3 linked regions of the Coturnix japonica genome follow. The main gene of each other region encodes a partner of the protein of the gene in region 3 in a complex. Links are inferred from orthologs where the notes say so. Each region holds a gene or a part of one and is shown on either strand. Other genes may lie near its edges.

What was found.
Region 1: the proteins of GABARAPL1 (region 3) and NBR1 are in contact, whole or in part, in an NMR structure (PDB 2L8J), measured with the Homo sapiens proteins. The link is inferred for Coturnix japonica from reciprocal best matches to the Homo sapiens genes GABARAPL1 and NBR1. Residues at the interface, in NP_113600.1 of Homo sapiens: Glu12, Tyr13, Lys16, Glu17, Lys20, Ile21, Lys24, Tyr25, Arg28, Pro30, Lys48, Tyr49, Leu50, Val51, Pro52, Phe104; in NP_005890.2 of Homo sapiens: Ser729, Glu730, Asp731, Tyr732, Ile733, Ile734, Ile735, Leu736.
Region 2: the proteins of GABARAPL1 (region 3) and STBD1 are in contact, whole or in part, in a crystal structure (PDB 8X8A), measured with the Homo sapiens proteins. The link is inferred for Coturnix japonica from reciprocal best matches to the Homo sapiens genes GABARAPL1 and STBD1. Residues at the interface, in NP_113600.1 of Homo sapiens: Glu17, Ile21, Tyr25, Asp27, Arg28, Pro30, Val31, Ile32, Lys46, Lys48, Tyr49, Leu50, Val51, Pro52, Asp54, Leu55, Gly58, Gln59, Phe62, Leu63, Arg67, Phe104; in NP_003934.1 of Homo sapiens: Glu201, Glu202, Trp203, Glu204, Met205, Val206, Pro207, Arg208, His209, Ser210, Gly213.

The regions. Positions count from the first base shown.
Region 1 is NC_029542.1:4,762,793-4,766,439, reverse strand, and holds part of NBR1 (next to BRCA1 gene 1 protein), read right to left. Parts: intron 3,118-3,647; coding exon 3,042-3,117; intron 2,610-3,041; coding exon 2,508-2,609; intron 2,020-2,507; coding exon 1,858-2,019; intron 1,002-1,857; coding exon 644-1,001; intron 352-643; coding exon 257-351; intron 1-256. UniProt on the Homo sapiens protein: Ubiquitin-binding autophagy adapter that participates in different processes including host defense or intracellular homeostasis.
Region 2 is NC_029519.1:44,505,404-44,509,325, forward strand, and holds STBD1 (starch-binding domain-containing protein 1), read right to left. Parts: upstream 2,490-3,922; 5' UTR 2,457-2,489; coding exon 2,207-2,456; intron 2,108-2,206; coding exon 1,284-2,107; 3' UTR 509-1,283; downstream 1-508. UniProt on the Homo sapiens protein: Acts as a cargo receptor for glycogen. Delivers its cargo to an autophagic pathway called glycophagy, resulting in the transport of glycogen to lysosomes.
Region 3 is NC_029516.1:70,390,283-70,394,460, forward strand, and holds the start of GABARAPL1 (gamma-aminobutyric acid receptor-associated protein-like 1), read right to left. Parts: upstream 2,811-4,178; 5' UTR 2,672-2,810; coding exon 2,582-2,671; intron 1-2,581. UniProt on the Homo sapiens protein: Ubiquitin-like modifier that increases cell-surface expression of kappa-type opioid receptor through facilitating anterograde intracellular trafficking of the receptor. Involved in formation of autophagosomal vacuoles.

The sequences.
Region 1 (3,647 bases), on a different chromosome or scaffold from region 3:
CATGTATAAAGGCACTCCTGAGTGCTCTTCTAACATTTCTAATCAATAAACACTACTCTCACCTGATTCACAAAGCTGATTACTGTTATATTCAAGACTTCTGTATGATAAAATTTTAAACACCCCCAGAGAAACAGATTAGTATTACTTGGGTAGGTTTCTGTTCCCCTCAAGGATAGAAGACATGAAATTCAACTGCAGGTGTAAAGAATAGGATGCAACTATGTATGCACCCTTCAGTAAGTACAGTCATTACCTTCTCTTATTTGATTACAAGGAGTGGAAGAGACATTCTCCAAAGTTGGTCTGTTTGGCTCTTGGAAGATATGATTCTGAAGAGATGCAAGATTTCTGAAAACATAAAGCAGAACAATTACTTTTTCCCTTCCATTCAATGTGCCCACATGTAGGTAAGTTTAGGTAAAAAAAGCAAAAGGAAATCTTCACGTACTCCCTTATTTCCTTTTCTACTCACAGATTAGCTATGCACAAATGGCTTTATAAAAAAAGTAACAGGATATACGATGGACAGGCACATGCAAAACTGATTTTTTTTGGCAACAATTTCTATTTTGACACTGAAGTTGAATGCAACATCCTGTAAAGCCTGCAGCAACTCTTTATTCTTGTCCTAGAATCATACCTTTCTGACTGGGGTAAGGTGTCCACAACCTCAGAGGCCAACGGTACTACAGCCAGTGTATGTGAAGTTGTCAAAATGTTACTGATGCTATGCATCTGTGGCTGCCTTTCCCCTTCTGAATTCCCTGCCCCTGTTTCAGATTCTCCCATCTTTTCCAGGCTGGGCTGAGAAAGAGCTGAGCTATACATGGACTCCCCTAAAGGACGACTGGTATCAAAGCACTCAGGGAGAATAATGATATAATCCTCTGATGAAGCAGAAGAGCCTTGACTTTGAACATCATCTTTATCATCATCTTCATCAGATCTGACTGTACTGCTAGAGCGGTCTGTTCTCTCATCAGACAGCAGAAGCTCATCTAAAAAGAATGAAAAGGGTATTAAAAATTGTCTATTTTGTGTGGATAAGACCAAAAGCAGTAGTGTTCCAGGTGTAAAGGGCAATCATTCAGACATAACTTTAAACCTTTGCTACCAATGTTAACTGTGTAAGAGCTTTTTTTATTAATATTATTTCACGAGAGGAGAAGGGAGGTATTGATCTCATATTAAATTTAAGTGGAATATAACAGAAGTAACAGGTACACTGAGAACAGCAGTTTTCAGCTCCTACATTATATGTATCAGATCTACGCACAGGCGTCAAACTACGCATGCAAACTATGCAAGTGCTAGCCATCTATGAGCACTTATCTGAATGACTGGGGTAATGAATGGAACATTGACTGGAAGCATTATCTCAATTTCACTTTTTATTTTTCTTCCTTTAATTAACTTTGCTAGCTCTCAAAACAGCTGTTCAAAGCAATGACAACAATATTCTGATGTAACATTGATCCTTGGTACAACGTGAGAACCAAAGCCCCAGAACACCAGACCTTTTTGTAACTGAATTTTTTTTTTTTCCGCCTGCAGCCCTTATTACAGCTTTACCCTCAATTTAGACTCATTTTACGTACTATTACCATTTTCTATCATTGCCTCTGACTGATGGATTTTTAATTCCTTTCTAGAAACAGAGTGAATTTTTATCCTAGTAGTTTCTTCATTTATCACCTTACAAATGAAAGCGTCTTGGAATGTTTGCAAAGAATCTAATACAGCAATCAGTAAAAATAATTTGAAAATTTATCATTAGCTGCAGTATAAATCAATTTGTGGCCAATATCTGCAAGGAAAATAACACCACAAAAGTCAGCTGAGTACAGTACTCACTCTTCTGCGATTTCTTTTTTTGTGGGGGTTTATGGTCAGGTGCAGCATCCAGAGTCAGAGAGCGAATTACAGTTTCGCACACAAACTGAGTCCCGCTCATATCTTCTTCCCCTTCTTCTTGGTTCAGTGGATGTTCAGTTTTCATTTTCACCACACAAGAATCTGTAGAAAAGCAGATTTCAATCATTCCTTTGAAAGGGAAACAACAGATTACTTGAATGTCACTAAAAGGAAACACAAGCATAAAACCATTTTTTTAAAGCTAGCCAAGGCTACTAATACTGATCCTATGTACTGATTATTCCTCAGAAATTGAAGATTTTGGAATTCATTTCAAGTTGAAATTGAATGCGAGTCTAATCTAGTCCTTAAAAGGCAAATTCTTAGTTCTCTCACCAATTCTACTAGGTAGCAAACTCATAAGAATCATGCTTTTCTGTTTCTGAATTTTAGATACATTACACTCCAAGCTTTATAGAGAATAGTATCAGATTATAGATTTATAATCCAATGAACTGGTTTTCCACAGATATGCAAAAAACAGGAGTTCAAATTCTTTAGGTAAATAAAACACAACTACTGTCCAGTTCTCAGATTTGACAATATCCTCCTCCCTCCCCATTCTCAGGCTCCCCATCACTACTGCTTACCAGACACTGGTTTACCCTCATTCTCCTCCTCTATCTGATCTAAGCCAGGTTTCTCTAGCAAGAGGCTATCATGCGGCAAAGGGGACATGCAGGGAGTCACATCTGTAAAACAGAAATTATGAAGATGACCGTCATTGAAGTAATAGGAACCTTCCTCAAGAAAGTAACTTTTTAAGATCCTTTCTTAAAGAACGTTCTTCGAAGGCAGCAGAGTTGTAAGACACTTTGGCAAAATTGACAATTAACTCTGCAATCACCAGCACTTGTCAAGGAAAGCAAATGGCAACCTTCTAGAATGCCTGGAATCTTATGGTCCTGGGAATGCGAAATTGAAAAGAAGAAAGTGACAAGTGACAACTAAATCTCCTCTAGTGATGCACAAAACAAACAAAACAAAAACACAAACAAAAAAAAAACAACACAGGAACTAGGAAGACACTTCAGCCTGAAAAACAAAAACTTTTGCCCAAACAAATTTTCACTGAGTAAACGGTAAAATGGAATGCTAGCAACAGTTCACCAGAATATCCTTACCAACAGGAGTATTGTGTGGCACTCGCTCTAATTCCTGTACAATATTGATGTCCAGTAGCTCAAAGGACAGCAAATCCTAGAGAAAGAAATCCTACAGTTTTCATCAACAAGCAATGAACTGGAATCATAATGTGGTAGTTCCCAGCATCAGATCCCCGGAATCCATTATTGTTTAGTCTGGAGAAGATGAAGTTCAGGGGTGACCTTATCACTCTCTACAACTACCTGAAGGGAGGCTGTGGTGAGGTAGGAGTTGGCCTCTTTTCCCATGTAACTAGCAAGAGAACTAGAAAAAAAATGGCCTCAAGTTGCACCATGGGAGATTCAGGTTGGACATTAGGAAATACTTCTCTAAGAAAGTAATCAGTCACTGGAATAAACTGCCCAGGGAGGTGGTGGAATCACCAACCCTGAAGTGTTCAAAAAATGTTCAGATGTTGTACTGGGAGACATGTTTTAGTGGAAAACATTGGTGATAGGTAGACAGTTGGACTGGATGATCTTAGAGATCTTTCGACACTAGAGAAAACAACACACAGATTAAGGCAGTGAGAGGGAAAATTAAGTACTCGATTGTCAGAGGTCAAAGAAAGACCCCACACCACA
Region 2 (3,922 bases), on a different chromosome or scaffold from region 3:
TACCTGAGAACACAAACTAGCACTCAAAAACAGTCTAGTTCACCTACTCAGACTGCTCCACTATGTTAAACAGCTAAACATAAGCAGAGACTATGAGCTTTGCAATGGGTTTTTGAAGTGTATGTTCCAAACCCCCAATGAAACTATTCTCTCCAGAGCAGGTTTGTTGTAGTGAATTGTGATGAAGGGATATTTGCAAACTAGGTTCCTCATTTTTGAGAGGAGCTTGCTGCAAGCAGCATCATATTTAGAACTAACAATATGAAAAGCAGACAGAGGAGCAGGTATCTTATTTTTACAAAACAGAAGCAACCAGTTGATGCTGGAAGTGCTCTGCACAAAGTAAAGACTTGCCTTGAAACAAGCATTCCATTATTTAACTATAGTTATTCCAAGTATTTTTTAACTATAGTTTATTGCTTTCACAAGCAGTATATGCCATGTAACTATTTCAGGAAGAACTCTAGCCCCTGAGTATTACAGCAGCTTTGGTTCTGTTTGTTTGGGGTTGTTTTTTTTGTTTGTTTGTTTTTTGTTGTTTTTTTTTTAAAGCCTGCTCTCACTCTGACAAAGTAATTTATTAAGCCCAGACAGTCATTTCTGACCTTTGCTCCCCATCTCACTGTGATGATACAGCTGAAAAAAATAAATGCATCTGCCAAGCCTTCCTTTGAGCTGGGGTGCTTCCTAGAGAGCAGGGGGTAAGAAACAAACATTGTCACTCTAAAGAGTGCCTGTTACTTTTCAGGAGTCATTTAGCACTAAGATTTTCAGTCAAGGAACCCAAATCTGTTCTATGCAATTTATAGCCAGTTCACAGGTCGTGTTATAAAGGACCATTAGTCCAAAAGTGTTTATTGCTTACTTGATACATTACATAAGTTAAAACATTTAAGTTCATCTTACAGTGTAGGTAACCACGCTTCCTAGTATGCTTTTAAAGCTCTAAGCCACCAGCACGTCCCACAGCCCCACTCAAAGCAGCACAAACTCAAGTCCAGGGTCCAGAATTATCCAGACAGGCAGCAGCTCAGAATGCTGCTCATGCCTTCGAATCCTACTCAGCACATCTTCAGAAGATGGCCAGGGTTGATTTTTCAGTTGCCAAATGACTTCCTAAAGTGGGGGGGATGACCATGATCTACTGCTCACACAGTTTAATTAGGTTTGACATGGGACTTACAGAGCTGCGCAGTCATGAAGGAATCCTACTGAAGAGGGAGAAAGTTTAGGGCTCTGTGATTAATCTAAGCAGGTTTAGATAAGCAGCATCCAAAATGCAGTCAGTGGTATCCCCACCACTGATGAGCGATTTGATCTTCATGTTCAGTCACTAGAGTCCTATTACCACATTCTTCCCAACGTGTGACCTTCCCGTTCTCCACCAAGATAAATTTCCACTCTACTTTGGTGTCCACCGGCAAGGTAACAGACTGAGACCAGAAGCCATCCTTGTCATACTTGAGAGGAACGTAACTGTGCCACTGGCCTAGACACTCATGGTCACCGGTAACACCGATCAGCTGAGCACCAGAGTGTGTGATGTAGTGCACGCGGAAAGTCACATGGATATTCTGAAACATTGGGGGCACTGCTGCAACTCTCTTTGCTTTCAAGTCCCCATCAGAGCAGTCTCCTTGTTCCCATTCTTTGCTGTCCGAGTCTTCCATGCTGCCATTCTGACCGGCCTCCCCCCAGTCCAGGTGCTCAGAAAGAACTTCCCAGTCTTCATGGTCCAAGTCATGGCTCTCAGCTGGCTGGCAGACCTGCCCCTCGCTTCTGTCCTTACAAATCTCACCAGAGGCTCCTGCCGAATTCATCACACACCATCCCTCACCTGCCTGTCCCACCTGTGGTCTCGAGTCTCCTCCCTGACCATCACGTGCATCAATCAGACACTGCCTAGCATCAGTCCCGGAGGAGGTGACACGCTGCTTTGGCGGCAGTTGCTCCGTCTCTGGTGACTTACAGGAAACCGTACCGCTCACAATATGGTTAAGTTCATTCCCTCGTGTTGCCGTCAAATCCTCTCCTGGTTTCTGAGGGCTGGACAGAGCAGCAGCCTTCGCTTGCCGCAGCACTTCCTCACTGCTCACCAGAAGGTCCTCTAAGAACAGAGAATTAAAACAGACGCAATTGAAGCAACGCAGTTAACTCGAGCCCTCGCAGGTGGGCACGGGCAGCCCGCATTACCCCAGCCCGCTACCTGCAGCCTCCGCCTCTCCCCTCGCCTGCTGGACCGTCGGGGCCGCCTCGCCGCTCTCCTCTCCCCGTCCGTCGCTGCTGCCGTACCAGAACCAGGCGACCAGGGCGGCAAGAAGCCCCACCACCAGCGCCGGCCACAGCCCCGCTCCCAGCCATCCCCAGCCGCGGGCCTCAGCCGGTAGAGCGGCTGCAGGCAAGCGGGGGGAAGCCGGGGACTGCCACAGCACGGGCGAGCCGCGGTCGCGGGCCATGACCAGACACTGGCAGTGGGGCTTCTACCAGCCTTGTCCCGGCCGCGGCTTTAAGCGAGCTCCGGGCCCGGGAGGAGCCGCCCCTGGGGCGGGCCGCTGCTTGCCTCAGCACCATTGGGCCGCCCCTGGAGCGGGCGGCTGCGAGAGGGGTAGTGAGCTAAAAGGTTTGCGTTGTGGACAGAATGCTTGATGATCTTTTGTTTTTGAAAGAAAGCGTTTGCGACTGGTGAACCTGGAGCTGTAGTAACCGCAGAAGGCTGTGCAGTCGAGCGGTGCTGGTGATGAAAAAAAAGCCAGGCTTCCTCTGGTGTCCCTGAAGAACTCAGTTTAACTTGCTGTTCATTTTGTAACCTGTGCAACGTGCCCTAATGCCTACAATTGGATTTCACAGCATTGTTCTGCTCTTCCATCATCCTCATTTCTAAGCTCAGGAAGCTTTTTTGGACTACCAGGGCTTCAAATTCTATTAATACAGAAAATAATTGACAATTATTTGATTTAACTTCATATTAATACCCAGTTCTGTTCCTCTTGGAGTAATGATGTCAAATCTTAATGCCAAATGAAACAATCACACAAATAAATCTAACATTAGCTAATCATAAAGTCTAGTAGATACAGTTTCTCAGTCCAGCAGGTGCTGGGCTATTAGCACCAAAGATTTAACTCCAGAAGAGTTACAGAAGCACTTCCAGATGGTTTTACCACTGTTTGTTTGTTTGTTCGTTTAATATCCTTTCTCTTTATGTGAACAGAGCTGTTGATTTCTAAAGCCCACTGATGTGATTTGATCATCAGAAAAGAGAATGGCTAACGTCTGAATAACTCTATTTCCAGTGTGTAAACTTCTTAATCTCTCTGTGTCATTAAGAGCAGCGCTACCTCAGCTTAACAGGACAGTAAATGTCACTCAGATTTATAGAAGCACAAGTGTGCAATCTTCAGAGTGAAGTTTCCTGGCTTATGAGCTAAATGGGGGCCTGTGTGAATAACAGAATACATCATTCAGGTTTTTTTTTTCTTTTTTTTTTTTTTTTTTCGGTTTAATTCTCTTTTTTTGTTAAACACAGTAAGCCTTCCCTAAAGCCCCAGTCTAACAAAGTGCTGAGCTTGTGCTTAAGTACAGACAGCTTCTTTGGTGTGTGGAATGAGTTCAGACATGTAAAACATGTATTGCTCAGATCTTCTGACCAGTAATACATAGAAAGGAAAGAGCTGAGAAGCTGGGACCTGCCTGGGCACTTCCTCAGCGGATCTGGTTTTGGGTGCAGTCTCCTTTACAACTGTTGATGTTTCAAGGGGCTGTTTACCTTCAGTTTAGCCTTGGTACTTAAAATAGGCACAGTAGATTGTATTTTCATAGTTTACTTATATATTCCTTTTTACCTAGCCCTCATAGCAGAGACACTTCCATGCTCTGTATTTATGTACAACTTAGCTCAGCTGGGATCCTCAGTTAGGGCACC
Region 3 (4,178 bases):
CATGGAAATACTGTGTGCATGTGGAAAGAAAATGCAGCCACTGGTAGGTTTGTTTTTTTTCCTGGTATGTATTTTTGATCAAGTAGAGAGATATATTACATGATTCAATCTATGTGGCTTACTGTTCTTCAGAAACCATTTTGACCTTCCCTGAGACACTGTGAGACTAATTTCTAAGAATCATAGAATTGCTCAGGTTGGAAAAGACCCTGAAGATCATCACATCCAACCGCAGCCTAACCATAGTACCCTAACTCTAACAACCCTCTGCTAAATCATATCCCTGAGTACCACATCCAAACGGCTCTTAAACACATCCAGGGATGGCGATTCAACCACCTCCCTGGGAAGCCAAAATCAGCAGCTGTGTCAGCTGTGCAATAGTAAAGGCTGGACTGTTGTGCTTCGTGTTTCCTTCCTTCTTTGGAAGGAAAATGGTGTTGTCACATCAATGAAACAGTACACCAAAGGAAAAAGACATGATAAGCTTTGTGTATTAACTTGGCATGGCACTTTTTCCAACCAAACACTCCTCGTTCCAGATTCAAGTATCCACAAAGCATGTCACACAGTAGAGATGCTGGCTTGGATACCTGTATACTCTTCTCCATTTAGATGCCTCCAATGCAGCCAAAAGCCCTGAAAATTCTAGGTTTCTTCCTAAAACACAAACGTAGTTTGCTAGTTCAAGAACCTCAACTACTAGGCAACTGAGCTCTTTCACACTAAGTTTGTGTTAGGACATACATTTCCATACAAGATAAAATTGACAAGTGTTGTGAAGGAAAGGTAGTTGCACAACCTCACTACACAGCTTCAGACTGACCAGCAACAGTACTTTGCCTATTTTCTTACCCTGAAACGCTACATGGTAGCATCAAATAAACTGAAGTAGAAAAAAAGCCTTTAGTTTTTGCTTTCAATTTAGAAGATTGGTAAGCAGAACTGTCAGGTAGCAACAGTGACAGGACCAAGCTGACTCAAAAGGATGGCATGTAGCTTAGTCATTAGATAAAGGAAAAGAAGATAGGGGGTACCTTGATTTATGAGGACAAGGTGAGCTCTGAGGATTCTAAACCCCTAGAAAGGATTCAAATTAAATAATCAAGTTTGAGACAGATCTCCCTCTTGCAAAGAGGGAAAAATGGAGGTGTTTTCCTAGATAATCAACTGTAGTAAGTTTCCCTGATAACCCAGGCAAGGTATCTCTTCTAAAGGTTACTTTGCACAGAGAGACAAACTTACAAAGACAATCCAAAGGGCAGATATATTATCTTGATGTCTGTTGCTGCTGGGTGACTGTGGTAACAATGGACTGGGCCAGCATTATAATTTCAGCAAAATGCAGACATATCACAACAGTGAAGTGCCAGCAGCCAATGGGACATTGCTGTCAAGGATCCTACTGTCGTGAAGGGCAGTGACAGAAGTGATTAAATACGTCTGTTGCACTCTGTGCAGCTCTGACAACAAGCCTTCCCCAGCAATCCACACCAGGCCTCTCCAAGCAGTGTTTTCACTTCCCCTTAGCTGCAGCACAGCTCACTTAGTTTGATCCTGTTTTTGTCCATTACACTCTACTAAAGCCCCTCTGTCTTGGCATTTTTACTCCTTGCCAGACCAGGTCTGTTGCTGGGCTCTCCACATAGTTCTTCCAGTCACTTCTATCATGACCTGCTGCATTACCTGCCACTCTCCTGACCAGCTGAGCCTGCTGTGGCCGTCATCTCAAAAGACAGACCTGCATACACTGCATGCTCAATTACTCTCATCCTACAGGGAAAAGCTCAGGTGAAACAGTTCTTTTGCACACTGCACCTCTGGTCACCCCAATCTAGGACAGAACTCTCCAGTGTTACAAAACAAACAAAATAAACCCTAGTGTTACTATTTCTTTTTGCAATTATTGCCACAAATTATAAAGCCAGGAGTTTTCCACTGAGATTCCAGACAGTCCTAAGGACAAGAAAGGAAAGTTCAGCTCGAAAATGATCTTGTTTTCCAAATGATGCTTTTTGGGTGATTAAAGAGTAGGGAAGTAAGACTGGGAATTATTATTGAGCATCCATCTCTTTTTAACTCTCATGCAAAACACAAAGCTGAAAAGAACGGAGCTGGACTACACTGAAAAGCAAGCTCCAAAAAGAAAAAGGTATAAAATAAAAACAAAACATCTGATAACAGCGATTTAGGCCTTTTTTTTTTTCCTTACAGAGAACGCCTGTTTCACACATTCATTGTTCTCCTCCATTTTCCCAGAGCAAGTCGTAAGCTCCTTCCCCACCCTCCAGCCCCACACGCATAGGCTGCCATAATAAGATTAACAGCGTTCTTGCTGTCGAATTACTGCGGATGCCCGAAAAAGACCCCCACACCCACCCACGGACCTTGGCGTAGAACAACAAATACGGTGGCACTAAAGAGAAAGCAATCCGGAATTAATACCGACACGCCAAAGTCATCTTTCCCAATCCCGTTCCTTGCAAAAGAAGCAAAGCAGCAGACGGCAACGACAAGGACAGCAAAGAATGGCGACATTTGCACAGCCAGCCCGAGGGCAGCGCTCGTCCAGCACACTCACAGGGACTCTGTCGGGGTATTTCTTCCTGATTTTCTCCCCTTCTTTTTTCCTGTACTCGAACGGGTGGTCTTCCTTGTACTGGAACTTCATGATGCGACACAACCGAGCCGGCCACTACCGTCCCTCCGTCACCTATGACCGGGCACTCAGCAAACCCTACTACGCCCGCGCAGCGCACGCAAACCCAGCGCAGCGCAGCGCAGCCCCGCACTGTGCTGTTGCGGGACGTCACAGCGACATACCCTCCCCTTCCGGCACTGTCGGCATTGCAGCGGGGTGGGGGCACTGTCTCGTGTGTGTGTGTGTGGGGGGGGGATGTGCTGGGTCTTTGTGTTTACATTCGGTTACTGTGCTTTTCGGGTTACCTAATGGTAACAATTCTAAAAGAAAGATCAAAAAATCCACAAAAACACAGCCACCAAAATAATGTGCGTGACTCAGGGGTTACCCACGCACCACCGTCAGAGGTGTCCCCGTCCAATGAGTCTCTTCTGTACGTGGTTGTGATTGATATAGTGTGCGTGTAGTATTACGGACTGGAAAACGTGTTGTAAAGCTGTTCTGTTTTGACAAGAGACCCTCAGCAAAAGAAACGCAATAATGAAAGCTGAGACCTCCACATGAGGCCAAATTGTCTCCTTCTCTAGGTGTCAAGGATTTCCCCTCTATCCTTCTACAACCCAGTATATATTATTAAAAAGAAGTTAACACCCCGGTATATATCACTAAAAGACAGGTTGCCAAACTTATCTCTATCCAAGGATGAGCAGATGTCCAGAAATAATGGCCAAGTGCTGAGTGAGCAAATGTTACAATTTTAGTACCTATAAATTACTTACAATATGCGTTATCGAGCATGCATCAGTGAAGAAAGTTCATCTAGAGGACAAGTGAGGAAGACCACTGGATGAAGTAAAAGACTGTCAATTGGACTGCCATGATGCTAAAAGGACACTAGACAGTAGAAGAGACCATGGAATAGAAGACTGGAAATCTCATCCATCTCTACCTGTGTTAAGTGTGTGTAAGTTAGTTGTCTCAAGTATAATTGATGAGTATGTACTATCTGTGGAAATATAATGGATGGGGAATCATGTAATCTTGGAAGCACTTATGGTGGAAGACGAAAGATGGATGCTCCATTGCAATGCTCTGTAAGGGCATCGTGACAAAATAGTAAGTAATAAAAATAATATCAGGAGAACAGGATCAGGAAGAAGCCCTGGTCCTTTTCTAGAAATACTCATACACATCTTTTAGACTGCTCCAAGAAATTCGTACTTCAGACATTAATGGTTTCTTTATCCCTATATGCTTATACACATAAGTCTTGCCTGAAGGGAAGGAGTTATCCCAACACTGGGAAGGACCTACTGCAAATCCCCACAGCAGATTTAGGGTGCTAGTTTGTGCTCTCTGCCCTGGAGAGAGCTGTTTATCATATATTGCCCACCACCCACCTTTACACTCTATAGCCCACTGCTTCTTGAATTCAGAGGTAATGCTCTCTCCAAGCCGTGGTGACTGTGATCTCTCATCATGCATGAAGGAGAGATATGGAGGAAGTATATTCACTTAGAAGCAGATATGGTCTGAC